4 linked regions of the Diceros bicornis minor genome follow. The protein of the gene in region 4 interacts with the protein of the main gene of each other region in a pairwise test. Links are inferred from orthologs where the notes say so. Each region holds a gene or a part of one and is shown on either strand. Other genes may lie near its edges.

Region 1 (8,087 bases), on a different chromosome or scaffold from region 4:
CTAAGCTTTAAATAATTGGCAACTTGTACAAATTTATTTTATATTATTCTTGTTGCCTTCCTTTTGCAAGTATTTCCTGCTTCTGTATTGTTCCAAAATGTCACATTCACATCAACAAACATAGACTGTAACTATCCATATAATTTGTCACAGTGTGTGTATTTTTAAAATATAATATTTAACTGTAGGCAAAACTTGAACTATATCAAAGTGATGTCATGTGGCCACTCACTGTCATTTCTTCACTTACCTCCCTGTCACAACTGCAGTTTTCACTTTTAATATTTAGTATTCTCTTGCAAAACATTCCTAAAAAGACATTATTTTTTTCTACTTTAGACCCATACAAAATGCATAAGTTTTTATACTAATCATGTGTGCATGTTTGACAAGCCACATTTTAAAATACAGTATGATGGGTACTTTCCTGAATATTGAAAACTGATCTTTATTTTTTCTCTTTTTATCGGGGTATATGGCATCATATCTATAGCAACAACCGTTCCTTAACATCATGTTCTGAATCTGTATGAATCTATTTTCTCTTTGCTTATGGATTTTATTACATCATTATGGGTGCATTAGAGATCCTGTGCTTCTTAGGGAAAAAAGATCCAAGCAGGGTTTCATTTAGAATTCATTTCCTATAGGTTAATGGAAAGCAATAAGTATAAACAATAAAACAAAAATCCCTTTGGACCCTGTTTTAGTCTGCCCTGATAGTTTAACTTCTGCCAAAAATGCTTTTATTTTTGGTTCACCTCATTCTTCAGATAATACATATGATGTCACTTCAGAGAGACTTCTCTAAGTATGTAGGTATGTACACTATTTCTTTCAAAGACAGTTAACATTTGTGATTGTTAGTTTGATTTATTGCTTTTGTTATCAACAAGGTTCCAGGATGGCAGAAGCCATGTCTGTTTTGTTCACTATCACAGAGGAGGCCAAAGGCAGATTTTCTGCTCAGCTGTAGGCCTCTAAGGAATGGAGGACGGTCAAGCATAGGTCCCACTAGCTGCTACCTGAAGAATGGGAATCTAGGAGGAGGGGGGTGTATGGAGAGAGGGGAGAGTGCTCCTGCATAGCAATCAGATTGCACGAAGGAGACCACTGAGGTGAGGTTTGTGCAAGGAATGGACACACCTGGGTGGCGGAAGCATGGAACATGGAAGCAGAATGACGAAGAGGAGGCTGGAGGGGTGGACAAACCCCAGACTTTGCATACAGTTCCCTTAAGCTCTGATGAGGAGATTGAATTCACTCAAAGCTCAACGTCAGGATCAATCGACTAATTGTGGTGCGATTTAATGGGAGATATTTGAGCATAAAATTATTCGAAATGGAAGTCTGCCAAATATATTTCTGAAATAATCCAAAAGGTGATCTTACTACAGTGAAAATAGATATTTTGAAGCTAGAAATTTTGAAGTAGATTTTTGATACAAAGAGGCGGTGGCTCTGTATTCAAATTTCTTTAATTCCCAAACTGGGTTGACTCTTTCTAAGTGTATGACTTGGGCTGGTTACATTAGAGCCCTAAGCCCTAGTTTCTTCATCTCTAGGATAGAGACGATAATAGTACTGAATATATCACTGAATAATATTAATATGACGTAGAAATTGATATTATACCTTTATTTCATGAAATTTAGAACTTTTTTGTAAATCTCATTTATATGTCGCTCTCCCTGTTTTTTAAGTATACCATTTTTTCTTTGAAAGAGAGAAAGGAAACTCAAAAAAATAAATAGTACAATAGTCCAAAGTGACATATTAGTAACTTGTATACCGCTGAGAAAAACTGTCACCTTGCCTAAGAGACAGCCTGGGCCAGCCGATGAGCTGGCATTTTCCCATTTAATGGTCACAAGAACTCAGTGAGATACGTGATATTTTGGCCTCCTTTTACAAATAAGGATATGAGTCAAAGGCAGTTTATGTAATTTGTCCAAGGTCATCTATCTAGAAAGTGGCAGAGTCAGAACTTGAACCAATAGAGTCTGGAGCCCAATGTCTTACACATTAAGCTCCTCTTTAGCAAGAAATAACAGGTTTAGTAATGTTATCTATACACTGTAGACCCACCAAATTTTATTTATTTGGTGATGTACTACATTCAAAACTACTTGTAGTAATCATGGTAGCCTGATTGTATGAACTTTTTAAAACAGCTTTATTGAAGTGTAATTGATATAAAACACTGCACATATTTAATGTATACAGCTGATGAATTTAAATATATGCATGCACCCATGAAACCATCACCATAATCAAGGTAATAAACATATTCATCACCTCCAAGAGTTTTCTTGTAACCCCCCTTTTGTGGTAGGCACAATGCAAAAATCAATGTAAGAAACCAAAGAGTCAATAGCATTAAAATATTTTCCCATACATCAAAGGCTTTGTGCTACAGCCATTGACAAATACTTTCACAATCACCTGAAATAAAACATGAAGAGTACCCACATATGTGTAGGGAAAATGAATGCTTTAATACATACACACGAGGAGTAAATATGCTGATTTACACTTGTTTGAGAAACACTTTAGAACAGGAAATGCTATTGAAGTTCAAGGACTGAATGATTAAACCCAGCTCAATATTGTTTAGTCCAATGTGAAAAAATACATAGTTAATTGGTAGGCAAGATCTCAGTGTACCAGAATCCAATTATAGAGTCTTCAAAACACTAGTGAAATAAAAGTTAATGAGACATTTTTAAAGACATTACAATTTAATGATATTGATTTATTTTGAAAAATGGCAAGAATAGATTTAAGCTTAATATACTGAAATAAATTTTCTATCTTCAATTTGGAAATGCAACCAAAAGAAATACCATTAAGTAGTGAAAAATGAAGATATATATATATGAATATGTAGATAAAATTTTTGGTGTGCTTCTAATTAAGAGTTCCTTTTGTTCTTTTTTGTGTGTGTGTGACCGAGGAAGATCAGCCCTGAGCTGATCCGATTCCAACCCTCCTCTTTTTGCCAAGGAAGATTGGCCCTGGGCTAATATCCGTGCCCATCTTCCTCTGATTTATACGGGACGCTGCCACAGCATGGCTTGACAAGCGGTGCATCGGTCTGCGCCTGGGATCCGTGCCTGCGAACCCTGGGCCACCAAAGCAGAGTGTGCACACTTAACCGCTACGCCACCAGGCCGGTCCCGCTTTTGTTCTTTTTTAATGGTCTTGGTTTACTGATAGTCCAAGAAATTTGGTCAGTTATATTATCATTGCCCTCTGAATTACAGTAAATGAAGGGAATAATTACTCCAAATCAGCACTAATTCAAATATGACTGGACATATACCAACGCTAACCAAAATAATTACAACCATGAATCTGTATTATAATAATAAGTGTTGTAATAAGGAGTGAGTTGGTTTGGCACCTCTACAGAGCACTTATTAAAATGTGTTTTTTCTACAACTGAAAGTGATGTACATTTAGTATTGTGTAGTCATTTTTTTCAGTGACTAGAGACTTATTTTGTAAGTTATTGGTATAATGAAACCCCTTCAGTTGATTAAATGGATGGCTCATAAGGAGACAGTTTATGATCTGTAACTATATAAAAGCAAATGAAAAAAATGAGAGGAATTAATGTCAAGTATATAAAATGTTACCGAAGATCATTTATACCAGAATATCTTATTTGATAATAAAAATGGGTAATCTTATACAACCACGGAACTTTATTAATTTGTAGATTAACCTGCATGTTTTAAGCATTTATTTTAAAGAAAAGGTCTACTTGTTATATCCTTAATATAGCTATGTTGCTATAATGAATAAAGTAATGGATATACATACTGATAAGAAAGCTTTGCATTTACCAGTTAATTTATCTTTGCTATTTATATGGAAATTTTTAATTCCTTTATAAACAGTTGAAATTGCTAAGACAGTGTTCAGTGTTATCTAGGCTGTGAAGCCTTTTCATTTCTAGGAGACAGCTGATCACTTCTTTAGCTCCTTAGAGCACCTTGTACACAACCTAGGAAGCTAACACTGATTTGACAAGTAATGTGTACTAAGAAAAGATTGATTGCATACATAAATATAATTTTTACAGTGTGAATTAGGTATTTTTAAATTATATGTGTTTATGTCATACACTGGACTATAAAATCTTTAAGGACAAATACCATGTCTTATTCATAATATTCTATTTTTAGAACGTATCATAATATTAACCATAGTAGGAAATTAATTCATGTATCAATTAAATGTCATTTTGACTGCAAGTAACAGAAAACTCACCAATCAGAGCTTAAATAAATATAGGTCATCATTCTCGCACAGCAGGGAAGGCAGAGGCATGCCTTCTGGGTTTCATGCGGCAGCTCAATCCTTAAATCAAGCTCCTTTCATCTTTCTGTTCCACCATTTTAAATGTTACAGGGTGGCTGTTATACTTGCCTTCATCTTTGTTCAGGCAGGAAGAAGCAGAGGAAAAAGAGTTTTTCGTTCTGATGTTTTCATATTTTTCTAGATGAGAAATTTCTCTGGCAGACCTCCCCTCACATCTCAGCAGCCAGAACCAGCTCCTATGCTGCCTTGAGACTAGTGAATGATCAGTGAAATGGAGGTCATCTCGGAAGACTGAGATCAATCATGATTGAGCCCTGGGATTGGGATGGGGGCTTTTCCTCCCAGAGATGAATAGATTCTGCATTCCACCTGAACAAACTGTGCTTTAATTAGCAGGGGAAAAGGGACCATTGAGTAGCTAATGGGCAATATGTGTTACAATAAATATTACCTGAAAAACATTGGATTTCTTAAAATGAATTATTCATGTTGCATTCTATCCTCAATTGCATCTTTATAATTTTATTTTTATTTGGCAAAATTTAATATAAGCAATTTCTGTTTCTTTGAGGATAATTACAAATGTATAAATTCCTCTATATTTTTAGTTACAGTGGAAAGGAAAATATGCAATATTGAAAAGATGTATTGTTTTCATCAACTTTCTTTTTTAAATGTAGGTCTTGTTCTTGTCATTGCAAAGAAATTCAAACATTAATTATTTGATTTTTTTTTCTGTCTTTTCTTAGGCCTGAAAACATACATATGAATTTAGATTCTATTCATCGGCTAATTGAGGAAACTCAAATCTTCCAGATGCAGCAGTCATCAGTTAAACCAACTTGTGACGTGATAGCACCTGCCTCCTCCCACAGAGATACCTGTAACTCCTGTGTGCCACTTTATGGGCTACAATCCCATGCAGCTCACGACCTCTGTGCTCACTCACGCAACACCAACGAATGGGATATTTGTGAAGAACTTCGCCTGCGAGAACTTGAAGAAGTCAAGGCCAGAGCTGCTCAGATGGAGAAGACCATGCGGTGGTGGTCAGATTGCACTGCCAACTGGAGAGAGAAGTGGAGTAAAGTTCGCACAGAAAGGAACAGTGCCAGGGAGGAAGGAAGACAACTCAGAATAAAATTAGAGATGACAATGAAGGAATTGAGTGCACTGAAAAAGAAACAAAGTTTGCCACATCAAAAGGAGGTGTTAGAGGCTAGAGTTACCCAAGACCTGAAGCGTCCTAGTTTCATAGAAGTGTCCTGTGCACAAAGAGACCAATTTCAAATGGGTTCCAAAACGTGTGAGTCTATCAGAGAGTGTTTGTTAAGAAGAGAATTTCCTACAAAGGAGAACACAACTAGTAAGGTGAGGAAAAAACCCACAGTGGAATCCAGAGACTATGCGCATATTTGAATGCTTTATATAGTGACGAGGAGGAAGGGGAAAATGACACACCCAATGGCGACTGTATTTGTGTGCTTAGGATGCCATAACTAAGTACCACAGACTGTGTGGCTGCAGCAACAGAAATTTGTTTTTTTTCACAGTTCTGGAGGCTAGAAGTCTGCGATTAAGGTGTCAGTAGAGTTGGTTTCTTCTGAGGCCCCTCTCCGTGGCTTATAGATGGCCATCTTCTCTCTGTGTCTTCACATAGTCTTTGCTCTGTATGTACCTGTGTTGAAGATTCGTCTTCTTATAAAGATACCATCAGTAAGCCTACCCTACTCACCTTGTTTTAACTTAATTACCTCTTTAAAGACCCAATCCCCAAATGTAGTTACATTCTGAGGTACTGGAGGAGGGTTAGCACTTCAACAAATGAGCTTTTTGGGGGGACACAATTCAGCCCATATTGCTGATATCACTAAGATTTTTAGCAAAAATTAACCTAGCATTTTTTTTATGTGAAAAAATATTTGGAGATATTTCTCCCCATTTACCCTAATTCTACCAATAATAGTACATTATCCGTATAGTAGTAGAAACATTTCTAAAGGTTTGAGACTCTGGCCTCACAATTAATTCTTGTAAAATAGGTACCCTAGGCAAATACTTTTAGGGATTGCTTCACACTACCCAGTTTTGGAATTTCTTGGTATACTTGCAATCTTGAAGTTTCTGAGAATTCTGCACAAGATAAACTTTTAAAAACTTCATTTAATCTAGCAGTTCATAACACTTATTTATCCATGAACACCACCACCCCCAGTTTTATTTTTTAAACCTTGTAAATACTATTAACGGTTAACCCGTGGAACATACTTTGGGAAACTTTGGGGATTCATATTATCGCTTTATTTTTTTTTTTAGCAGTATTTATTTATTTATTTATTTATTTTGTGAGGAAGATCAACACTGAGCTAACATCCGATGCCAATCCTCCTCTTTTTGCCAAGGAAGATTGGCCCTGGGCTAACATCTGTGCCCATCTTCCTCTATGTTATATGGGACGCTGCCACAGCATGGCCTGACAAGTGGTGCGTTAGTCCACGCCAAGGATCTGAACCTGAAACCCCAGACTGCCGAAGTGGAGCACGCGAACTTAACCACTATGCCACCGCGGCAGCCCCCATATTATCTCTTTAAATAGTATCAGTTTATATTGTTACCCCTTTCTATTTAATTCCATCTCTAAAAGCAAAATCAGTTCATATCTTTCTCTTCTACAATTCCATTTAAAATTTTAAGCCTTTCCATGATGTGTGGGACTTGTGGTAGATATAACTTAGATTCCACTGTAAATGAAAAATTTTAAAAGACTTCAGAGAAATGTGTTTTATTATAATAAGATAGAATATAGAAAAAAAAAAGCTTGAAGAATGCAAGTTAAAGTTTGGCCTTGTAACACAATGAGAGAATGATCAAGACATGAAAATATGACTTTGATGCTGAATCATAACATTTATTTCTTTCCAAAAATATGTTTCTTCATGATTTTTCTACACTAGATTTAAATGTTCACCAATAAGATTTGTTTTCTATTTTTTCCTTTCAGGAAGAAGGTTTGATTATTGACCCATCAAGATTAAATGAGGAGATGAAACTGAATCTAGATTGTTCTGATTTATTCAAGAACGGTGGTTCTGAAAACTGTGCTGTGACACCTGGATTAAGACCGCAAGCAATGCATCTGCCTTTGGAGAATGAAGCACCTGAAATGGCAGCTTTGCAGGTGCATTTGGATGAGTTCCAAAAAATCTTATGGAAGGAAAGAGAGTGAGTGCTCATCATTGTCTCCCTCAACCAAGTCTGATTTTCAAACTTCTTAAAATTCTTGCCTCTAGTAAACTGGCCATTTGATAATGTATTTTGCCCATAATTAGTCATTAAGTACTAATATTTAAGAAATGAGTTTGACATATATTCATTTTTTTAATTTTGAAGAGTAATTTATAACGTGTTAGTTTTTATCATTCTTTTATTGTAACCTTGTTCTCATCATCTCTGGTAGATTCACCTTAGTTATATCTGAATTATTAATGTATATGGTTACAATAGCCAGTGTATTATCTAACGTTTACAGTATTAGTAAACTTCAGTGAGTCAATAAAAATGAATAAATATGTTAATATGATGAATAACTCACAATTTTTTCAGTTATTGATCGCAGAAAAAGATGCTTTATTCATTGACCATTTGTGGTATAGAGGAAAGAGCAGTAGAGTTGAGAGTAAATGACGTGGATTTTCACCTTGGTTCTGAGATAGTCTAGCTATACGATATTGGGTTAGCCAAGAGTGTGCTATTGTCTC
Region 2 (7,605 bases), on a different chromosome or scaffold from region 4:
AGTTAAAAAAGCTATTTGCAAAACAAGACAGAAAGCTTCCACTTTTCTAAAACAGAAACAAAATATAGATGGACATTGAGAAAAGTCCGGAAGGTCCAGCGGAAGGTGGAGTGTGGTTTTGCGGGCAGGGGGCTGGGGTGGAGGTGGGTTGGGGATCAACTTCATTACTGCTCACATTTCTAAATGAGCACGTACTGCTTCTGTCATTCAAAGACCACTTTGACAACGGCCCCTAAAGGGCTCGTTGGCAGCCCACACAAACGTGGGGACCGCCCCTCCTACTCCCTCACCCAGTGCAGGCTGTTCTTTGCCGGCGGGCGGGCGGCGAGGCGCCTACCTGGTCCCGCTCGATGGCGACCTCCTCCATCTGCTGCAGGATGGCCTCGATGCGGTCCTTGTACATCTTGGAGTCCTTCCGCAGGGCCTGGCACTGCAGCTCGAACATCTCCTTCTCCTCCATGCACTGCGGGAGACGGCAGCTAGCTAGCCCCACCGCCCGTGGCCCCTGTTCTGGCCCCCGGTCAGGCCCGGCTGGGACGAGGGGGAGGCTGCCTGAGCCCCTAGGTCCCTGCCAGCCCTGAGCTTCCAGACCAAGGCTGGCCCTGACTGCCCTGGGGGAGTGAGGGCAGGAGTGGGTGAGAAGGCCGGCCCTACGCCTCCAGAACGGGGTGCAGTAGGGACTGAGCTGAGAGCTGAGAGCCCCCCGGTTCCAGGCACTGCGTGGGCACAGGGCAGTCCCTCAGCCCACGCAGCCAGCCTGGCCCCAGGCGCGGTGTCCACCTGCCCCCGCTGCGTACCCGGGTGCGCAGGGCCTCGGCCTGGCGCAGGTCCTTGCGCAGGGAGAAGATGGTGCTGGCCTGCTCCTGGTGGTCCTGCAGCGCCTGCCTCCAGTCCTCCTCCAGCACCTGGATGTAGGGGCTGCTCTTCTCTGGCTTCCCAGCCTGCGGGTGGCGAAGGGGAGAGGGCAGCAGGGCAGCGACCTTGCTGGGGGAGGCCCACGGCCCACCTGCCCCGGCGCCCGCCCCGCAGGCCCCACCTGGACGGAGGCCTCCAGCTCCTGCACCCGGGCCTGCAGCAGGGCCTTCTCCTGCTGCAGCTCCCACAGCAGCTCCTGGCTGGGCCGCTGCTCCATGGCGTGCCTGAGCTTCAGCGTGTGCTTGCGCTCCACCTTGCAGTCGTCCTCCGCCTTCATGAGGCTGTGCCGGAGCCGGTCGATCTGCGGGACAACCCCGTCAGCGCGGCGGCCTCACCCACTGCCTGGCCCTCGACGCCTGCCAGGCCCTCTCTGCAGGACGGAGGCTCGGGGCCACGCGACTCGCCCAGGACACCGCCACGGGCCCACCCCCGCGCCCCGTGGACCGGAGGGCACCTCCAGCTGCAGGTCGCGGTTGCGCATGAGCGCGGCGCCCTTCTCCTCGCTCTGGCGGGCCAGGCGCAGGGCCAGGTCGTAGTTCTCCTCCTTGCAGCGCTTGAGCTCCCGGCCGCCGGCCTCACACTCCTCCTTGAGACGCTGCACGCGCTCCTGGTGCTTGCGCAGCAGGCTGTCCTTCACCCGCAGCTCCTTGATGAAGTCGTCCTTGGAGCTCAGCAGCGCCGTCAGGTCCTGCACCTTCTTCTGCAGCTTCATCACCTCGCTCATCAGCAGCTGCGTCAGGCCCGACTCCCCGGACGCGTCTGTAGACGGGGCCAGCGTCAGACTGTCGCCTGTCCCCCACGGCCACCCTGCCCCACCGCCTCCCAGGGCCCTGCACTGGAGGAGCAGCAACGCGTGGCTCCAGGGAATGCGGAGCCCGGCCAAGGGGTCAAGTCCAAGTGGCTGCTGCTTCTCGTCGAGGAAATGGACTGAGATGCTCACTCACCTCCCCGGCCCCTGTCCCGATGCCCGTCCAGGACAGGGGACAGCCAGGGCCAGGCACCTGTCTCCCTTTGTCTGATCTTATCATCTTGATTGAGAGGCAAGAGGACGCGAGTCCGGGGCCAGGAGAGCATTGCTTCGCCATTCCTGGGAGTGGCAGGCCCCGCCCTCTCAGGGGCAGTGTCTGTGGCCCAGGGCAGGGACAGGGGCTTTGCAGGTGGGATGGTTTTCTGGGCAGGAGGGGCTCCGATCTGTGAGTCAGCCTGTGCACCTGCACACGCCTCCGACCTGCTGCTCCCCGAGAGGTCTGGTCCCCCTTTTCTTGGGCCGCTGCTCCCTCCGCGAGTGTTCGGAGAGGAGAGCGGGACGGGAGCGATGACCAGCCCCGCTCCCACGCCGGCACCCTGCCCACGAGCAGCTCACTCACTTTCCTTGATCCCAATTTACCCGGTCGGGAGACCCGATGGGGAGGTGCCTGCTGCCCTGTCCCCATGCCACTGCCCTCCCAACATGTCTGGCTCTGCCCCATGCCGACCCCACCCCTCCATCCTGGCCCTGTGCCCCCCACGTCCCCCACCCCCATGCCCGGTGTCCCGTTCCTCACCGATGATCATGGAGAAGACACGGGTGGGCTCCTTGCCCGTGACCTTCTTGTAGAGCTGGGGGTAGTAGAGCTCCAGGCTCTCGAGGAAGGCCACGTAGCCCTTGTGGCCGGTCCGCTGCAGGATGTCCAGGAGCACGCCTGCCACCCAGAGAGGCCTGGCTGGCGCCCGGGCCTCAGCGTCCCGGGACGTGCATGGGTGCTCTGGGCCGGGGGACAAGGCTGTGCGGCCCCCGCCAGGTCTGGCCGCAGCCAAATGGGTCTGGGACGTGGACAGCCGCTGCAGGCCGGGGTCCAAGTGCCACCCGCCACCCCTTGGCTCTCCCAGAGGCCTCAGCAGTGCATGGAAGCACCACGGCCCCCGGCAAACAGGACGGGTGCAGGGGTGCCGGGGGTTTCGTCCACGTGCTTGCAGTTGGGGTTGGGGTGCACTCCGTGGGGCTGCATGGGGCTCGGCCTCCTGGGGACAAGGGTAGGGGACAAAGCCCACAGCGGCCTCTGGGCAGGCTCCTAGCCAGCTCGGGGGCGGGGCAGCACTGACCCACTTTGCGCTTGCGGATGACCAGGTTGGGGTCGCTGAGCACCTGCTCCTCATCGTCGGGGTTCAGGACCTTGCACTGCCTCAGGTAGGGCGTGATGCGCGAGGGGTCGATGACGGAGATGAGCTTCACCCGGAAGCCCTCCAGGGCGCTCCAGCACTCCTCCTCGTTCTCATAGTCCGACATGGCAGGGTCGGCCAGAGTCGGGGAGGGCGGCTGGGAGGGACACCACTCGCTGAGCTGTCAGCTGAGCTAGGCCCCAGGCCCGCCACCGAGGAGCCCAGCCAGGAACTCAGCCCAGGGGTGTTCGGGAGAGAGGTGTGCTGCCTCAGGCCCTGCCCTCCCATCTCGGCGACCTAGAGAGGGAAGCAGCAGCTGCGCAGGGACCCTGCTGCCCATCTGCTCACTGGGTGGCCCTCGGCCTCACCTGGGCCCTGCTCCCGCCCCCTGGGCCACCCTGGGCTTTCTCTCTCCCGAGTCACCCTGGTGAGTACGGGGGAAGGTGTGGAGATGCTCCAGGGGCAGGAACATCCCCTGCACCATGGCTCTCCTCTGGCCTCTGCCCGCCCCGGGAGACCCCCAAGTGTCGTGGGGCTGGCAGGGATGGCCACCTCCCACCTGTGGGGCAGGAGGAGCCATTTGTGCTGCTGCCACCCGCTGGCACGACCTCCCTGGCCGGCCAGTGCCCAGGCTGGGGCGAGAGGCACGAGGCAAGTGACCTCCCACCTGCGCAATGCTGGACCATGCTGTCTGGGGCTTCCTCATTTCCCAACTTAGCGTCTGCTCAGGTCCCCGCCCCAGCCCCTCCTCTCTTTCCGTGGCCGGCTGGTGGTGCAACAGCCTCCCAGCAGCTGCCTGGAGCTGGCCTGCTCCGAGTCAGGCTCAGCGACACTGTGCCTTTCGGGAAGGGTGACTGACCGCCCACAGGAGGGCCAGGGCCTGGGCACTAGGGGAAGGCCTGGCTGTGTCGCCCACGGCCAGCCTGGAATGCTGCTTGGGCGCCTCCTCCGGGCTCTCAGGTCCTGGGACCCAGCCGTCTCTGGCTCCTCTCCCACCTCTCAGATGAGGCCTGCTCTTGGTCACACTCTGGGGGACTGGCACGCTGGCCTTCTGACGAGGGGACCACCTACATTGGGACCAGCCACTGCTGCTGCCTTCCACCAGCAGGCGAGAAATCACTCTCTCCGGGGCTGGGCCAAGCCAGGTGGTCGTGCCTCCTCTGGGTGGTGGGGACGGAGACCCTGACTCGGCCACCTCAGACAGAGCCTTCAGCTGTGTTGGAAACTCTGGTTTCTAGCCCACAGGAGCTAGACCACATCCTAGAGATGTGGGTGACAGAAGGCCTGGTCTCTGGAGGAGGTCCTCCCACTTCCCACAGAGCTTGGCCTTCCCATCCAGCCCAGCAACAGACAAGGTGTGGAATAAAGATACCAGCAACCCGGTGGACGGTCCTGGGAACTTTCGGCCCATTCCCGCCTTTCTAGCCTAAAAGCCACGGGTCCCACGTCTGATGCCCCGCTGTTAATTCCACTGAGATGAACAAGCAGGTCTCAGTGGCCGTGAAGAGGGACAGGGCAGAAGAGTTGAGGCCACTGGGTACCCTTCTGGGCTATTTGCTCCAGGACCCGGCTCCCTGCCCCAGCAGCCCTGAGCAGAGAGCCACGGCACCTTCCCAATCACCTTTCAGAAAGGGCCCCAGACCAGCCTACCTCAGGGTCCTCGAGGGGGCACCCACACAGCTGGACGCTGGTCAGCCTGGGCCACCCCGATCAATGAGCAACAGGAGGTGCTGCTGGCGGCCAGGGGCCTGAGGGAGGGTGGAGCCCAGCGGGACGCCTGTGCACTTCCTGATGGTTCTGGGCAACTCCACAGAGGCCCAGCCGGTCCTCCCGCAGGGGGACAGTCCCTGGTGGCTGCCTTCTGATTCGCCCAGCCAGGGCGGCCCAGGAGGCGGGGCAGAGGGAAGTGGAAGTCGTCTGCTCTCAGAGGAAAGCTGCTGGGAGCCCTCCCAGCCTGCCTGGCGGCCAAGGTCCCGGGCCTGCCCTGGGGGCCCAGCCCCGGCACCCTGCACAGTGGAAGTGCGGGCGAAGGCCCACCCAGGGGCTGGGTGTGGCTGATCCACCATCCAGTCTGCTTTGGCCCAGACGCCTAAGGACTGCAGTGTGGTGTCCAAAAAGGGCATGGGGCTGGGGAGGCCCCTGCCACCTGCAAGAGGCCACAGGCCCCGGCCACATTTGCCTCACTTGGCCGCCAGCCCACTGCAGCTAGCACATCCTCCTCCCTTCCTGGGAGCATCCCCACTCTGCAGCCCTCTCCACTAGGACACGTGGGACAGTGACAGCAGGCTCCCGGGACTCCGAGGCCACTGCCTGCAGTCCCACAAGCCGGTGTCAGAATGGCAGTTGACTGCAGGACAAGGCTCCGGCCCATGGTCATGGCAGCAGTCCTCCGTGGACTACGTGGCCTCTCCCAGCCCCTGCCTCGCCGGTGTAGCCGTAGCAGTTGAGCCGAGTTGCCACCTGCCCTGCTGGATGAGGCAACAGCTCCGGGAAGGAGCTGCAGCTGGACGGGCGGGCAGGGCCTGCCCGTGCCCTGGCTCCGCCTTCCGAGGCAGCTGCCTCTCGCCTAACCGGCTCCCTTCCTGTCGGGCTCGGTCCTCAGTCCCTGGGCTTTCCTCTGCCCCTGGCCCACAGCGGTCACCTGGTCGGCCGAAACCTCAGGAGTCCTGGCACAACCAGGCAGGGTAAGTCGTGGAGGCGGCCTGGCCTTCCTGCAGGCTCCGAGAAGACAGAGGCCCAATGTCACCCTCTAGCAGGGAGCAGTCCGGAGGACCCTGGGGGAACGCGTTCTGGGGGCTCATGCCCCGGGCTAGGCGAGCAGGGAGGGGCCCGGGCTGCAGCTCTGCTCTCACGTGATGGATCGGCCACTGCTGGGCCCTCGACGACCCAACACTTCCCCGCTCGGTAAACAAGGCCGATCAAGGTGTCTTCCTCATGGCGTGTGTTTAAGAATTAAATAAAAACGTGTGTTCTCAGATTACATCAGAATTAAGCTAGAAATCAGTAACAGAGGGCCAGCCCCGTGGCTTAGCGGTTAAGTGCGCGCGCTCTGCTGCTGGCAGCCCGGGGTTCGGATCCCGGGCGCGCACCGAGGCACCACTTCTCCGGCCATGCTGAGGCCGTGTCCCACATACAGCAACTAGAAGGATGTGCAACTATGACGTACAACTATCTACTGGGGCTTTGGGGGAAATAAAAATAAATAAATAAAAATTATAAAAAAAAAAAATCAAATCAGGGGCCGGCCCGGTGGCGCAAGCGGTTAAGTGCGCGCGCTCCGCTGCGGCGGCCCGGGGTTCGCTGGTTCGGATCCCGGGCGCGCACCGACGCACTGCTTGGTAAGCCATGCTGTGGCGGCGTCCCATATAAAGTGGAGGAAGATAGGCACAGATGTTAGCCCAGGGCCGTCTTCCTCAGCAAAAAAAGAGGAGGATTGGCGGATGTTAGCACAGGGCTGATCTCCTCACAAAAAAAAAAAAAAAAAAAAAAAAAAATCAAATCAGTAACAGAAAGATATCTGGAAGATCCCTTGATATTTGGACGTTAAATAACAAACATCTCAGTAACCCGTTACCAGCAAGGTCACCACAGTGGACGGGTGTCAGCAGAGCTTCCCGACTAGATAGACTAGGAAGAAGGACCTGGCCACCCACGTAGAAACATCGGAAAGCCTGTGCATAGCAGCGGAGCATTGTCTGACGTGGCAGAAGGGGAGGAGATGGCGCAGAAAGACAGGGCAGGCTTCCCTCTGCTGTCCACGGGGTCTAGGAGCCGGAATCCACTCCACGGCACTGACAAAATAACCCATCAGTCAGATGAAGTCACAAGGAAAACTAGAAATTAGTTAACCAAGTACTGGGCACAAAGCAAAAACCAAGACCATGCACACAGGAGACTGAGTCAGCCCGTGGCAGGCGTGACCTGTGACGTCTGGGTGGGGAGAGGGGACGGGCGGCCCCGGTGACTGCTGTTGAGGCCAGGCCAGGACATGTGCTGGGCACACTTGCTCTATTTCTGTATGTTGGGAACTTTCCATAATAAGTGAAACCAAGTGGAGCAGGAAGCAAGGAGAACGAAGCCCCGGGAGCCGAGTGCCTCGATGGCTGTAACGGAAACTTGAGGCCTAGTCCTTGAGGTGGGAGCGCCGAGGGTGCTGGACTTGGTCTCAAGCCAAAGGAACGCCGTGCAGAGGCAGGCGGTGCTGGCCTGGAGCCGCCCAGCAGGGCCACTGCTACGATGGGGCACCCGGCTGTGCTGGCTCTAGGGACCCGCCTGGGTGGGCCTGTGTGGTCTACACAGCAGAGGAAGTAGGCCCACCCTTGTCCCTGCAGGGGCACCAAGAGGGCCGGCAGCCGCCTGGGAGGGCACTGGGCTGCCTTCTGCTGGAGCGTGCCCCTCAGCCCAAAGGCCAGAGCCACAGCTACCGCAAACAGGGCAAACCTCTGCTTCTCTGTCTCCTCCCCCATACCCCCAGAAAGGCCCGATCCCTCTGCACTCCGCCCAGTGTCCCAGGACAAGACCACAAGCTTGCTTTTTGACTAAAAAGTAGGC
Region 3 (7,027 bases), on a different chromosome or scaffold from region 4:
CGAGGGTAACGGTCCCAAGAGAAGCGTAGGGGAGCGGTCTGAGGGCGGCACCGTCCCGCAAACGCTAGGAAGCCCCGCCCAGCCTCTGCAGCCCGCGAGGCGACGGAGAGGGCTGCGCGCATGCGCTCGCCCGGGTCGCGGCGGGACTGGTGGGCGAGGGGCGGGGCTGAACGCGGCAGGCCCGGAGCACGAACGGAATTGGGGGGGGGGGGGGGGGCCGGTTCCTGAGCTGCGTGCGCTGGAGAAAACTCATCCTTTTCCTTCTTGGTTCTGCTGTGTTGCAAACTCACTCTGGCGGCATCTCAGAAAGCAGGCGACACACTTTGCCCTCAGAATCCCAAAAACCATCTCTCTCTTTAATAAGAGTCTCTGAAAATACCATTCAAAATTTCTTTAAAAATCACAAACTTCCCAATGCCATATATCTAGGTATGACTCTCACTGGAATTTTTATGTTGAGGTGTATTCTAAAGCATTGTGTCCTCAAATTTATACACACTTTGTGCTACATTTCTTTTTCTTGTCCTTTAAAAAAATGCTGTCTTTCACAGTATATACATCTATCAAATCAAGTTGTACACCTTAAATATATACAATTTTGTCAACATAGCTGGAAAAAAATGTTATGTTCACTTTCTAGTCAGACTTTAAGTTCCATTAAAGAAAATGTTTTTCATATTAGACCTGGAAAAGATATTGAGATACTTTCTGTTGACTATTGCCATCAGAATATTTTTCTCAGCATGTGTATTTAATGCATGAGTAAAGGTGTTCAATACATTTTGAGTCATCAATGTTTTGTTAGGAGGTTATTTCCCATAGCTTTGGTCAAGGCATTTATTTTATTTTATTATTTTTCGTGTGTGTATGAGGAAGAGCAGCCCTGAGCTAACATCCATGTCAATCCTCCTCTTTTTGCTGAGGAAGACTGGCCCTGGGCTAACATCTGTGCCCATCTTCCTCCACTTGATATGGGACACCCCCACAGCATGGCTTGACAAGCGGTGCGTTGGTGAGCACCCAGGATCTGAACCTGGGCCACCAGCAGCTGAGCGCGCACACTTAACCAGTACACCACGGGGCCGGCCCTGGTCAAGACATTTAAATTTAACAATCTGGGTCCTAGCTTTGCCTAGGTCCTTGCCCATCCCAAGTGGAAATGTTTCAGCATCATCCTTAGCAATAGATCAAACAGTATTTAAGACCTGAGCCAGGATATTCCCTTTTATCAAATGACACACAAAGTCCAAAATCTGGTTAAAAAGATCCAGGTAACAAAATGAGAAATAAATTCCCATTTAAAATGTAAACCTCCTCAAAGCTTGATTCTTGACAGGTTTCCTACCTGAGAAAGCAAGAAATTCACCTCCCTGAGGGATCAGTTTTTTCCTCAGGCAGGCCTGCTATTCATTCAAATCTCACAGACTTTCCCTTTATAAAGAAACGCTGAATTTTTTACAATATCCAATTTTGTTTCATAACAGTGTATTTTCATTCATTTATATATACTACCTAATACCAATATATTATACCTCTTAACTGTTTCTGAGCACATCTCAGAGATGTTAATACCTAGGGGGTCTCTTAAAGAAAAAGTCCTCGGTATATTGAAACCAGTTTGCCTTTTCTCCTCTACTTTGATTAGGAATATTTCCAGGTCAAATCTTTTCATTTCAGTCTACACAGCAGGTAGCATGGAACAATGCTAATCCTTTTTCTTTTTTTTTTTGGCGGGGTGGTAACTTATAAAGACAGAATTACAGTCACCATTAAAAAAATTGGTAGCAGAATTCATTTACTGACTTTGGTGCTTAAGAAATCTTCCTTAGCAGATCCTTTTTCTAGTCATTTGCAGAATTTTTAACCTTTCTTCAAAGATTATCCCCTTAATAGGATAAAGTAACTCTTTAAAATCCCTCAGATCCAATACTAAGAACCATGTAAGTGAATAGACTAAGAAATAAGAAATTTTTAATTAACCCCCACACTACCTTGACAAACAACAAAATCTCTCATATTTCATCTTCTAAATTAAGATCCATGAAGAGTTCCAAATAGCAGCTAGCTGCCAGAGAGAATATAAAGTTAGGTGTATGTAAAAAGACAATTCCTTGATGGAGAGAACAAAAAACCTGGGATTATTTCCAGAGGGGAAGTGAATATGCATAAAGGCATTGCTATTCACAACGGCTGCACAAACACTGTAGATATATTAAGATCCACCACTGAACCCTATCAATTTTAGAGTTGGAAGAGAACTTAGAAATGATGAGAAAAATGAGACTGAACAGGTTAAGTGACTTTCTCAAAGTTATACAAAGAGGGGAGAATCCTGGTCTCCTGACTTCCAATTCACTGCCTTCCCTCTACAAAATAGCTATTATTTTTCAAGCAACTCTTCCATTTTGAGTCAATGTCATTTCAAGGGGCAAGAAATTATTTAAGTGACAACAGGGGTATTTTTCAGAGAATGCTGACAGTTGTGGACGCGTCTTTCTCAACCTTTCTTCCCCTTCCTCAACACCCTCCTATCACTAACAGCACAGCAGGACTCCTGCTGCAGCAGCGACTCAAGTTTTTCTTCCAAGTGAACTTGCTGTACCTTTGGGAGTACTCTTCCCTCTCAGCTCCTTCGTTTTTGTCTTTGTTTTTAAACCACTTCTTTCTTCCCACAACATACAAAACAAGAGCTCCTTCAAATCATTTTAATAACTTGGCAGTGACTGAAAACATGAAAAGAAGATTCAAACTTGTTCCCTTTAAGGGAGATGCTACCATGATTGCCTCACACAAGCATGATCAAAAGCAATGATGAGACCGGATTCCACAGAGCAAGGGTGGTCAGAAGGCCTCAAGGCTCACAGATTGAAGAGCGTGGTTTCGGAAAGTCTCTTGAGGGGTAGCAGGCGGCAGAAGACACACGAAATTTAAGGGACTCTCAGAGGACAGGGCGCGGTTGCTGGGTCATGAGCACCTTGAAGCGTTTCTTGATGGTGATTCGGTGTCGAGAGTATTTGTCGTCTGGGGAGAACCGAGCAGGATGGGCCGAGCAGGTCTGTTGTCCCACAGGGTCAAGCTTCTGCTCAAGAAACAGAGAACATCAGTACAGGAGTGATGGGAAAACTCAAGCACCGGCGTCTAAAGGGAGATGGAGGCTGGGATGGGGAGGGGGCCGCGCAAAAAAAGGTAAACAGGACAGAAGACGTGACGGACAGACGAAGGGGTCATACACTCCCGCTTCTACCACGCCTGGCTTCTGGGTTTTCTAGTTCGCCTCACCCAGGGAGGCAACTCGGTGCCTGGTCTCAACCGCTGCTCCCACCTACATTTCTCGCCATACCCATTCACAACCTGTTTCCTCTACTCACCTTAAGCGTATAGACCCGGTCTCCCTGCTCGTTGAGATAATACTGGAGGAACATGATCAGACTACAGCCAGAACTTCCAACTCCGTGCGCAGCTCCGTCCAACAGACCGCCTCACGTGTTTGTCAATTTCCTTCCTGCATAGCCGGAAGTCTCTTTCTAGGCATGCCGGGAAATGTAGTCCACTTAGGCCTTTCTCCAGCTGGCCAAAAGGGGGAGCCCTAGTGCAAGAGTTGGCCCAGTTGCAACCCAGTTGCAACTTTGCTGGCGTTGGCGCCCAGTTGCAACCTTGCAGGCGTTCAGAGACGCGTGGAGTGTGCCCCCTGTGTGCCCGACACTGCTAGGCTGCTAGGCGTTAGAGGGGGGTAAGGATGGATATGAGTTGAACATTGATGAATAGAATCCTGTCTTTATTTCAAGATGCACACCCATTTCAGGGGCAGTGTGTTTCTAGTGTCTGGAGAAACAATAGCTCCAGGATCCAGAGCCCCTTTACCTTAGGGAAGAAAGAAGAAGGTTTTCTTCCCTCCTCTCTTTTACATCCGATCCCCGCGCCCTATTTCAAAGTATTGGCGGTAAAGAGTGCATGATGGGTATTCAATATTCTGTACAGCGAGGAGAGCGTGAAGTTATTTTATGAAACTGGTGAAGTATGTTTTAGAGGTCGAACCAAGATTCAAACTCAGGTCTCTTTACCACAAATTCAGCGCTCTTATGGTGGTGAGTAGCTAATAATAGCATAATAAGATGTACCTCCGAAGGGTATTTCCAATTTTTAAAAGAACGTAGAAATTCTCCTTATAGGACTCTAGTTTGAAAAACGAAAATTGGAGCCCAGATATCATTACAAAGATGATCGTTGCAGTATTATGTATAATAGCAAAAACATTGGAGCATGTATTAATTTTATAACCAGAAAAACTGAAAGACTTTATTTTTTTTAAAGAATATAGTTTGTATTCACTTGTAGTTGCATAAAATATCTCTGCAAGGATTCACAAGAAACATAATATTGGTTTCCTCTGGGATAAAGAACTCCGTCCCAGAGGAAAGGAGTGGGAGGGAGACTTGCTGTATATTCCATTTTGCATAGTTTGACTTTTGAACCATGCTGATGTATTACCCATTTAAAAAATTAAAATTATTTAACAAAATTTTAAAACAAAATAATTTAACAAACAAAAGGAAGGACTTTTTGGTCTTGAAATTTTAGGCTGAATGGCAGTTTTTGATAGAGTGGGGCTTTTCAGCCAGGGGTAAGGCTGAGCCTTCTGTGGACTGCAGAGCTGATGGAAGTGGACTGTTGGGGCACTGCAGGACAGCTTTCCAAGGAAATGATATGCATACAGCAATTGAACACCCTGGGTCTTATGAGACAACCCTAATTTCAGACATTCTATTCCCTTGATCCTTAAGTACACCAGACTATGTGCTCTGAATTTGGTTCAGAAAATATAGCCAACATTGAATTAAGTCAAGGGTCTGCCACAACCTGCTATTAATGGGAAATCAGGTACAGAACTGGATGGGATTGAAGGGCACAGAACTAGATATATTGGTGAAGAGTTGTATAGGGTACTGAGATGTAAAACTATAATGTTGGGAATCTGAGAACGAATATACAAATATCCCTAAAGAGGTACACAACAATTGTGTTGCCATACTCTGGTTTGGAGGGAATTCCTTGTTACTGCTTACTAGAACCCTTTGTGGAGTATCTCCCTCCCCCCACCCCATATTCTGCTGTCCCCTCCCCCACTGCAGAATGCCTTGAGTCCTAGATTCTAGTTCTGTTTTAATCTGATCTTTACCCTCCCTTCCTTGGATCCCTGTGCCTCTACTGGAGCCAGATTACTCTCTGGGTCCTGAACCTGACTGTCTCATTCTGGAGGCTTCCAGACAGCCACGGTTAGCGCCCAAACCTGAGAGGATGGCTTCAGATGGAAGTAAGTCTGCAGGTGGGCGGGAGGGTCCCTGCCACCTGCTCACATCCTTCAGGATTAAAATTTGATGCTTTACTTGGGGACAGGCTCTTTGGGCTGATCTAGAGGGATGCGAGATCACTAGAGACCTCACCAAAGGCCTCTCACTGGGGGAGGCTGGGGAAGGAGGTTGTGCCATTAAGACTGGGGGTTGGGGAAGGAAGAAGGCCTCCTGGGAGACAGATCAAAGCACCTCAGAGGAAAGTGCTGATGATAGAGAAGGAATGGCAGTTAACAACTTGCTTCTCTGGAAGAGGGACCCTTTTAACATATGCTTGTGTGGCAGGGGCAGGAGTATGTGTGGGGCCCAGAGAAGGTTCAAGGGGAAGCCTCGAGTTCCTGTGTCTTCTTTAGGCAACCGGAGGGTGCTCTAGAATTTTGCCCTGAGAGAATTGAGCTGGGGCCATTCTGGATCTTACTGAGGGGGTGGGGGGTGGAGGCCTTAGCTGGAAAACTGTTCAGTGGGGTTATCTGTTGCCAAGTCTGTAGAGAAATGTCCTCCCGAAAGCTAGACTGGAAGGTACTATAAGCGCCTCTGCTCAGAGCCTCATGGCTCCTTCCAGCCCCAGAGATGGCTTCTCTCTCAGTTCAGGGAGCAGTTTTCCTTGATTCCTCCGCCAGGGCCAGGGGAGGTGGGTCACTCCAGCCAGTACAAGAGCTGGGGCTTCCCTGAGATGCTCTCAGCTTTTCTACCTTTTGTGGAGCTCAGGCATTCAAACCCATTTCTTTGTGTTCCGTACTTGGTGGAGTACTCCTGGCCCTCTGCTCTGTGGTTGAGATGACGAGTTTGCTCATATTCCGTGTCTCCTTCATGGTCTGGAAACGGAAACTGAGTGTTGTTAGTTTGCCAGTGGGATATTCTTTATAAGAGGGGAGGAGAGTAGCATGAAATTAGACAGATGATCTTCTATTGTTATTGTTAAAAGTCCTAGGAGACACATGTCCTGATTAATTAAGTACACGTTTTGTGTATTTATCTTTCGTCTCTTTGACTGGAGTCCGCTTAGCTCCTCCTCAGCAAGTACTGTGTTTTGGACTTCCTTATCAGTGCCTTGTTCATAGTGGGCCCTAAATTTCTGATGTTAGGAACTTCAAGCAGAAGGATCACAGATAGTCTGCATTGCCAAATTTTAACATGTCCAGCAGCTACTTGAAGCTCTGGAAACCTCCCTCCCCACACCACCCTGCCCTTGCTCATTTCCTGACCCTTATCTCCAGTCATTCCTGGCTGTTATATAACAGAAGTGCTGGGAACCAAACATCTAATCCACACATCCTCTTCTGGGAACAACACTTCTGTGAGTGGTGGCAGGGACCACAGAGCAGCTGGGAGTAGGGTTCAGGTGGTTTGAATGTGTTGGGAATGGATGGGAATAAAGGTGTACCTGTATGCTGGGTGCAATGAGTTATGGGGCATGAGCTCATAGGTCCAAGAATTATTGCAGCTTCTCTAGTGCAATAATTCTTAACTGGGAGTAAGGGACATCAAGATCACTTGGGGGACATTGCAAACTATACAAGTTCTCTCTCCATATCTCCTCCCTCACCTGTTGAGAATCGGAACTCTGATTCTTCAGGGACTAAAGTGGAACTCTGATGATCTGACTTCTGGTCTCCTTTTCTCCTACTCCATGCCCTCTTTTTCTTTGTCTCACCAGCATCTCCGTTGCCGGGACCGGA
Region 4 (7,594 bases):
TGGCCCGGGGTTCGCAGGTTTGGATCCTGGGCGTGCACTGACACACCACTTGTTAAGCCATGCTGTGGCGGCGTCTCATATAAAGTGGAGGAAGATGGGCACGGATCTTAGCCCGGGGCCAATCTTTCTCAGCAAAAAGAGGAAGATTGACGTTGGATGTTAGCTCAGGGCTGGTCTTCCTCACAAAAAAAAAAGGTTGCTGACTGAGTAATATTCCCTTCCCAGTCCTCCTTAGGACCCCACTCCCAACTTTCTCACCCCTCCACCAAGGCTCCCAGGTGAATTGGGTACCTGGAGCAAAGTGGGAAGACAGATTACTTCCTACTGGAAGGGGAAGGAGGGCTTCAAGTGGTGTGCGGGTCACCCGAGTCCTGGGAAAAAGTGCAATCTGAGTAAGCCCAAAACACCCAAGTTCTCCCTCTTCCCAGGTCACCTGTTTTTTCGCCTTCACCAAACATCTTCTCATTACTCTACTGCTCATGGGGCCTTCTGGGTGATACCTGTTCTCTGCTGGGAAGCTACTGCCAGTTCACCATTTTGAAGGTAAACCCTTTCCACCCCCACATTCACCTGTTCTTGGTGCAGCCTCTGAACCTCCTCCAGCTCCCGCTGGTTCCCCTCTTCCAGGTTCTTCCGGACAACCTCGGCCCCAGCCAAGGCAGCACGCAGGCCCTCGGCCTCAGCTCGGCCGGCCTTCTCCGCCCGTGCCAGAGCCTCCAGCTCCATGGCCTGGGCCTCTAGCCTCATCTTCTGCTGCAGCGAGGTCTCCCGCAGGACCCGGACCTCCTCCTCAAGCCGCCGCAGCTCTTGCAGCTGCCGAGAGATCAGCTCAGCCTGCTGGCTCAGGGCCTGCGACCCCTCTATGGACCTTCAAAGACAGATTAGCACAGGTGAGACATGTCTCTGGTGCTGGGAGAGTGGCCAAGGGCATAAATGGAGACAGAAGGAGAAGAGGATCCTTCTGTTCCCATGTGGGGAGATGAGGGGGATGAAGCCGGGCCATGGGGATCTCTGCATTTCCCTCACCATAGTCATTCATCGAGGCCCTACTAAGCACATTAGGTCCACTGTCTGGGCTCACAGGACCTAAAGGCTTGCTGAGACCATAGAACGTGATCTCCCTAGAGAGAGCCTATATACAGGCAGATATATTAAACATCTGCCTGTGCACATCATCAGGCCACACATTCTGAATTGGAGAGGTTGGAAGAACACACAGAGGCTTCTGAATTCCGATTTAAGGGCAAGGAAAAGTTTGAGGGAGGTGCAGAGAAAGAGAAGTCAAGGCTTCCAGTATCAACATGGTGCGGCCAGGAGCTAGTTAAAAGCATTTATTGAGTGTTAGGAGGAGTCTGAGAGAACAGTACAGCAATAAATTGCAAAGTTCCGACCTTTGGAGAACAGAATCAACTGGTGTCACATAAAGTTTAAACCAGTATAACAAGGCTCTTGACACAGCTCACTCACTGAGGCCCAGAACCACGGAATTTTTTTTTGAAGTGGCAGGGATCTGTCACTTCAGAGCCTAGAGAAATTAAGTGACTGGCCAAAGGAGCCCCAGCTGGTAGCCAAATGAGCAACAGAAAGTCTCTGTCTCCTGACACCCACTCCAGTGTTCCCCTTTCATCATCGGGCTCCTTCCTCTTTGATGGGGTCCAAGGTAGACCCATCTGCAATTCCACTCTAGGGCAAAATGGCAGAATGACATTCCAGGACATTTGGGAAAAGACACACATGAAACATCAAGAATTTTTATAGACAGTACACCTACAAATAGCATGGCTACCTCCAATGGCATGTACTCTGTCAGAATGAATCCACATACCACAGTACAAGCTACACTCCTTCACACTTCTTCATCTTGCCTTATACTATGTTTATTACAATCAGCTGTTGGTCAGTCTCTCTCTTGGGATTTTAAATTCCTTGAGATAAAGATCTCTCTTATTCATTTTTGTTATCCCCATCCCTAGCAGCTAACACACTGCCTTATTACTATTTATTCATTGTAGGCACACCAATAGTTGCTTATGTAAAAATGAACAAATTATGGAAGGGCTGAAACAGGGTAACAAATCTATTTCAGTGAAGAAGGGTCACTGGCAAGCAAGCCCAAGAAAACAGTGACAGTGTATCCCTACCTGCCTCTCTGCCCTGGCTCCTGCCCATTGTCAGAAACACCTCGTTCCCACATGATCACTTGAGGTCTCTGGTTGTCTGGCCGCCTTTCTGAGACATCTTGATGGGCTGGGGGTTGGAGCAGGGGAATGTCTGAGACCCAAGTGGGAGCCATTCTTGGCACAGTTGGAAGGGGCCGAGCTTGGAAGTGGGATGGGGGAATCAGCCCAGTGGAACCTGAAGAATCACAAGGACAAAGATGGTCAGCTTCCCAGGGAGAGACAATCACCAGTCCCCTTGCCAGGTCCCACTGACCTGAAGGTCGAAACATCTCCACATTATTTGAAGCCTCTAGATTCAGTGTCCAGCCATCTATGTTCCCCTGGACAATAGGAGAAACAAGGACACTCCAATTCAACTTTCAGGCCACCTTCCAAAGAGAAAGCCCCTACAATAACAAAGTCATAATCCTTAAATAAAAGCCAGGTCCACCCAACCCTTAGCTCCTCTTTTCCTACTTCCCAAAAGAAGTAGGAAATACCCAAAGATCACTTGCTTGACCCAACCTGGTTCCTGACAGAACTATGGCAATTACCACGAGATGGAGGGAATTTACTGAGACAGGCTGAGAGGGAGCTCTCTGAGGCTTTACTCATACTTTGGGGATTCTGGGAGTGACTTTACCCTCCTCCTTAAGTTTCTACAGTCTCTGCCGTTCCTGGTCGGAGGTGAGAAAGGAGGTATGCAGTGCAGGGGTTGTGAGCCCAATCTCCAGAGTTCTCTCCATGGCTCAGCAAGGCCTTGGGGAAGCCCATCCAGACACCACCAAGCCATGCCTCCTTGGTCCTTCCCTATTAAAGCTCTGGCCCCAGGCCCAGATGAATGTGGCTACATGCAGAATAGGATGCCTCCCCAGGACCTCTGGGAATCCAGGCAGCCTAGATCTCTTGGCAGAAAAGCCAGCTTCCTGACATCTCATCCAAACCCTTCCAACAACTTTCCTCTCAATTTCTCTCTACTATCCTCTCAGCTTCCATTCCTGTCACCCACCCTCCCCTCTCCAGAGTCCTAGAGCATAGAGAGGGTGTTCAAGGTCTCCCCACCCTCCCACCCGAATTCATCTATTTTCGCCCCGCCGATCTGGGATTTCTATTCCCCTCCCTCCCTACATCCTAATCTGCTTTTTTCCTGAAGGAATTACTCTGCTCCCTCACTCGCACCTTCATCTCTCAACTCAATAGCCTGCTCTCGCCTCCCTGCACTCTAGCCGGCTCTCAGTTCTGCCACCCGACCCCCACTCCCTCAAATACCCTTGCGTCTTCACCCTGCTTGACCCCGAGCTCTAAGGCTGTTCCGACCACCTTACCCGTTCTTTTACCCGGCCCCCTTACCCCACTTCCCCTATGGACCCCTGAACCCACCCTCGCACCCCAGCTCAGCCCCTTCCCGCCCCCAACCGACACTTCCAGAATGCCCCTTACCCAGCGCGAGAGCCCACCTCTGCCCTTTGACCACACCCCCTACACCTTGCTCCCGGGCGCGGCCTCCGCCCCTGACCGCGCCTGCGCAAAGCGCGCAGGTTGGCGGGCCGCTCTAAAGCCCGTTTCACCCCGGAAGGAGGAGGGGAAGAGGTGCACGCAGGCGCAGTAGTGTCTGAAGCCGGGCCCAACTAAGGCGTTGGGGCAGCTCCGCGCCCCGGCGGCTCCTCCCAACTCCGGGAACCCGGGAAAACTTGTGAACTAATCAGAAAAAGCGGAAGGCGGGAGATCGGAGAGCCTCCAAGCGCGCCGCCCAATGGAGAGGAGGAGCACAAATGAGCCGGCCAATCAGGAACGGCACGGGGGGCGGGCTCGCTCGGCGCGAAGTTCGGGCCCGGGAATTCCAAAGGCGGGGTCGGCGCTGCCCGCGCGCGGAGGCCGCGCCCCTCCTGGCCCCGGCTTCCTTGCTGTCAAACAGCCGCGGGAGCGCCAGCGCCGGCCGGAGCCCGAGAGGTCCCGGGGCCGCCGAGAGGCTGGCACTGCCTGGAGGGGAGACCCTGCCACTGCACCGCGCGGTAATCCGAAACTGGGCTGGGGCGGGGAGGGAAAAGACTGGGTTTGCCTTGTATGATCTCCGGGAGCTCTTTGCTCTATTTTTATCCCACCCGGAGAAGCGGAGGTTTAGATCCGCTTTGTTGGAGAACGTAAGGACTCGTTTGCACTGCCTTTAGGGGATGACAGTGGATTCACTTTCCCACTGGGGTTCAAGCTAACTAGTTATGAGTGAGGTATTGGCCAGAAGAGCAAGGCGCGGGCAAGCAGGAGGATTACTCCATTTGGATAAGCAGGTCTGACAGGAAGAAGCTTCTTTTCTCCAAATTACATTGAGGTGACAAGCTAACATTGCACAGGAGCAGGAACCCCCCCCTCATACATACATCTACAGTGTATTTCCCTAGACGCTGCCTAATGTATGTTGCCTTGCACAGATTGAAGGCTCCCCGAGTATTTTGCGGCCTGAGGATCCGGTTCAACTAAGGTGCCATAAGACGTGTTGGTTTTTGCACTGCACCGGGACCTTCTCCGAACTTTTCAGTTGCAAAGCTGCTTGACAGCCAATTTTCCATCGTGTGCCTAGGCTCCTTGTCCTCTGAATTTGCACCATTCAGGGAGTGTCCTCAAAGTTGAAATTGCACAAAGCACAGCTCAAGTTTGTATCAGACGGAAAGTAAACTTAGGCCGGCCATGCATCACCCAGGAGTGGGAAAGGTGATGGATTCCTGAAGTGGAAGAGGTGGTGCGGAGGGGGCACCGCCCATGCTGCCCTGCTTCCAGCTGCTGCGCATAGGGGGCGGCAGGGGCGGTGATCTCTACACCTTCCACCCCCCAAGCGGAGCTGGCTGCACCTATCGCTTGGGCCGCAGGGCCGACCTGTGTGATGTGGCCCTGCGGCCCCAGCAGGAGCCCGGCCTCATCTCTGGAGTCCACGCGGAGCTGCACGCTGAATGCCGGGGCGATGACTGGAGGGTCAGTCTGGAGGACCATAGCAGCCAAGGTGAGCAGTGAGCAGGGCAGCCTTGCACCTAGGCAGTTGCAGTTCTGGGCTGGAATGATTAAGGGACTCCACAAGGACCCTTCCTGCCTCCCAAACTCCCCATCAGGTTTGATGGACAGCTGTAGTCCAGACCTGTCTTCCTACCAGAAATGTGCAGTGTCAGACACTCTGCGGGGCTGACCCTCGATGGCCCGTTTAGCTCATACAGGGACTGGGAGGTAGATCCAGGGCCTGGGGCATCATCAGGAAAGTATCACAGTGGGGTTGTTCTGGGGCATTGGGATCCAAGCTAAGACTTGACTCAGTTTCCAGATTTGCTGAGGCATCTCGTTCCTGTCTTAGGGCCGTTATGATATGTTGAATTATGTTTTAATGATCTGGGCATATGTCTTACTCCTTGACTTTGGAGATAGTTACAGCCAGCCTCAGAAGGCCTGACTTCACATCTGAGTTCTGCCACTGGCCGCTGGTGGCAGACCTATCAGACCTGGTGGCCCCCTCAGACCTGTTACTTCTCCTCTCTGGGTTTCCTCTTGGGTAAAATGTCTTTGTGAGGTCTATTTTGGTGTGTGGTAGGGGTTGGATAACAGTGGTAGCCAACATTCATGTAGTGCTTACTATTATGAACCAGGCAGATTTAAGTGCATTGAATGTAGGTGGGCATGAATATCATCCCCATTTTATAGGCGAGGGAAATGAGGCACAAAGAGGTTAACTTGTCCAGAGTCACATAGCTGGTAAGTGGTGGAGCTAGGATTTGAACCCAGACAGGCTGAGCTTTGCTGATAGTAACTGTTGAGTTGGGGCTGTTTGAGGGTGAGTATATCTGAGAACTGGACCTCAGTAGAGTGAGGGGAGTCCGCTCCCTCTATGTGCCCTGAGGGAGGGCATAAGAAAAGTAAATCTTGTTCCCAGCTCACAAGGAGCTTAATCTCTGATATCACCTGCTGAGGTACTTAGAATGTGAGAGAATTTGATGACAGGTGTCAAGTTCTTCCTCATATTCCCCAGAAAATCAAATGGGGCCAGATTCCTCCCCTCCTGACTGACTCTGGTCATTTCTGTTTTGTCCTTCTCTGTGCCTGGTTGCCCACCATCAACAGGGACTTTGGTCAATAATGTCCGACTCCCAAGGGGTCATAGGCTAGAGTTGAGTGATGGTGACCTTCTGACCTTTGGCCCTGAAGGGCCCCCAGGAACCAGCCCCCCGGAGTTCTACTTCATGTTTCAGCAAGTCCGCGTCAAACCTCAAGATTTTGCTGCCATTACCATCCCTCGGTCTAGGGGAGAAGAGGGAACCAGGGCTGGTTTCCGGCCCATGCTGCCCTCCCAGGGGGCTCCACAGCGCCCCCTCAGCACCCTCTCCCCTGCCCCCAAAGCCACGCTGATCCTCAACTCCATCGGCAGCCTCAGCAAGCTCCAGCCCCAGCCCCTCACCTTTTCCCGGAGTGGGGGTGGGCCACAGAGCCTGCCTGTTCCCACTCCCCCTGGGGAAGTGGGGACCACCCCTTCTGCCCCACCCCCAAGGAATCGCAGGAAATCAGCTCACCGAGTGTTGGCAGAACTGGATGATGAGAGAGAGGGTCCCGAGAGCCCTCCACCAGTCCTTACAGAGCCCAGGAAGAAATTCCGTGTAGAGAAAACCCCACTTACACCTAGTGGGTAAGTAGAGAGATCTTTGTCTTAATATTTCACTGCCTTTTGATTCATTTTTAGAGCCCCAGGCTGGGAGGTGGCCTTCAGCTCAGGGGAGGGAGAGGGGGATGGGAGGTGGACAGGAGTGGAACAGATGTTGGAATGGCAAGACCTGGGTTAGCTCTACTAACCAGGTTCACCATTAGTCTAGTGAGTCTATCTAGGTTCACTTTGATTATCCAGGGGACAGTTCTAGGCTTCTACAGTTTCTAGTGACCCTGGTTTTTGTGTCACTTTCTTCAGAAATCGACGTGGGCGTCCTCGGAAGCACCCAGTGAGCACCCCCATTGCTCCCCCCGCAGTTGGGGGTGGGGAGCCCTGTGCAGCCCCTTGTTGCTGCCTGCCCCAAGAAGAGACAGTAGCCTGGGTTCAGTGTGATGGTTGTGACGTCTGGTTCCATGTGGCCTGTGTTGGCTGTAGCATCCAGGCTGCCAGGGAGGCCGACTTCCGGTGCCCAGGGTGTCGTGTAGGCATCCAGACCTAAGGCCACCATCACGGCACCAGAGGACAGAGCTGGCACCTCCAGGCCACGGGTGGACACAGTGGTGTGCCAATGAGTCCTAAGAAATGCCCCTTCTTCCCTTGCCTCCCCAGGAGGGAATGACTACAGGGGAAGGGTCCATTGCTATGGATATCGATTGGAGGCCTGGAGCAGGCCCTCATGGCCAAGGTGACAGAAGAGATGGTTTCCTACCAAAGATATTGCTGCCTGCAGGGAGTTGCCAGAGAGCTGGAAATTCCCACTGTT

Evidence for each region.
Region 1: the proteins of CCHCR1 (region 4) and CCDC102B interact in binary tests that used the Homo sapiens proteins (3 or more experiments, as listed by UniProt). The link is inferred for Diceros bicornis minor from reciprocal best matches to the Homo sapiens genes CCHCR1 and CCDC102B.
Region 2: the proteins of CCHCR1 (region 4) and CARD9 interact in binary tests that used the Homo sapiens proteins (3 or more experiments, as listed by UniProt). The link is inferred for Diceros bicornis minor from reciprocal best matches to the Homo sapiens genes CCHCR1 and CARD9.
Region 3: the proteins of CCHCR1 (region 4) and NUTM1 interact in binary tests that used the Homo sapiens proteins (3 or more experiments, as listed by UniProt). The link is inferred for Diceros bicornis minor from reciprocal best matches to the Homo sapiens genes CCHCR1 and NUTM1.

What each region holds. Positions count from the first base shown.
Region 1 is NC_080755.1:58,670,564-58,678,650, forward strand, and holds the start of CCDC102B (coiled-coil domain-containing protein 102B), read left to right. Parts: upstream 1-5,085; 5' UTR 5,086-5,094; coding exon 5,095-5,700; intron 5,701-7,330; coding exon 7,331-7,551; intron 7,552-8,087. UniProt on the Homo sapiens protein: During interphase, forms fibers at the proximal ends of centrioles to maintain centrosome cohesion. During mitosis, dissociates from the centrosome following phosphorylation to allow centrosome separation. Contributes to CROCC/rootletin filament formation.
Region 2 is NC_080767.1:42,451,269-42,458,873, reverse strand, and holds the start of CARD9 (caspase recruitment domain-containing protein 9), read right to left. Parts: upstream 3,052-7,605; coding exon 2,460-3,051; intron 2,356-2,459; exon of another isoform or gene 1,990-2,355; coding exon of another isoform or gene 1,860-1,989; intron 1,675-1,859; coding exon 1,370-1,674; intron 1,217-1,369; coding exon 1,037-1,216; intron 942-1,036; coding exon 798-941; intron 464-797; coding exon 338-463; intron 1-337. UniProt on the Homo sapiens protein: Adapter protein that plays a key role in innate immune response against fungi by forming signaling complexes downstream of C-type lectin receptors.
Region 3 is NC_080744.1:31,625,989-31,633,015, reverse strand, and holds the start of NUTM1 (NUT family member 1), read left to right. Parts: upstream 1-3,954; coding exon 3,955-3,958; intron 3,959-5,215; coding exon 5,216-5,311; intron 5,312-7,005; coding exon 7,006-7,027. Other genes in the region: NOP10 (H/ACA ribonucleoprotein complex subunit 3), read right to left, coding at 2,939-3,079, 3,369-3,422. UniProt on the Homo sapiens protein: Plays a role in the regulation of proliferation. Regulates TERT expression by modulating SP1 binding to TERT promoter binding sites.
Region 4 is NC_080753.1:34,069,694-34,077,287, reverse strand, and holds the start of CCHCR1 (coiled-coil alpha-helical rod protein 1), read right to left. Parts: upstream 3,148-7,594; 5' UTR 2,953-3,147; coding exon 2,803-2,952; exon of another isoform or gene 2,501-2,802; coding exon 2,434-2,500; intron 2,356-2,433; coding exon 2,142-2,355; intron 869-2,141; coding exon 571-868; intron 1-570. Other genes in the region: TCF19 (transcription factor 19), read left to right, coding at 4,914-5,151, 6,255-6,813, 7,090-7,330. UniProt on the Homo sapiens protein: May be a regulator of keratinocyte proliferation or differentiation.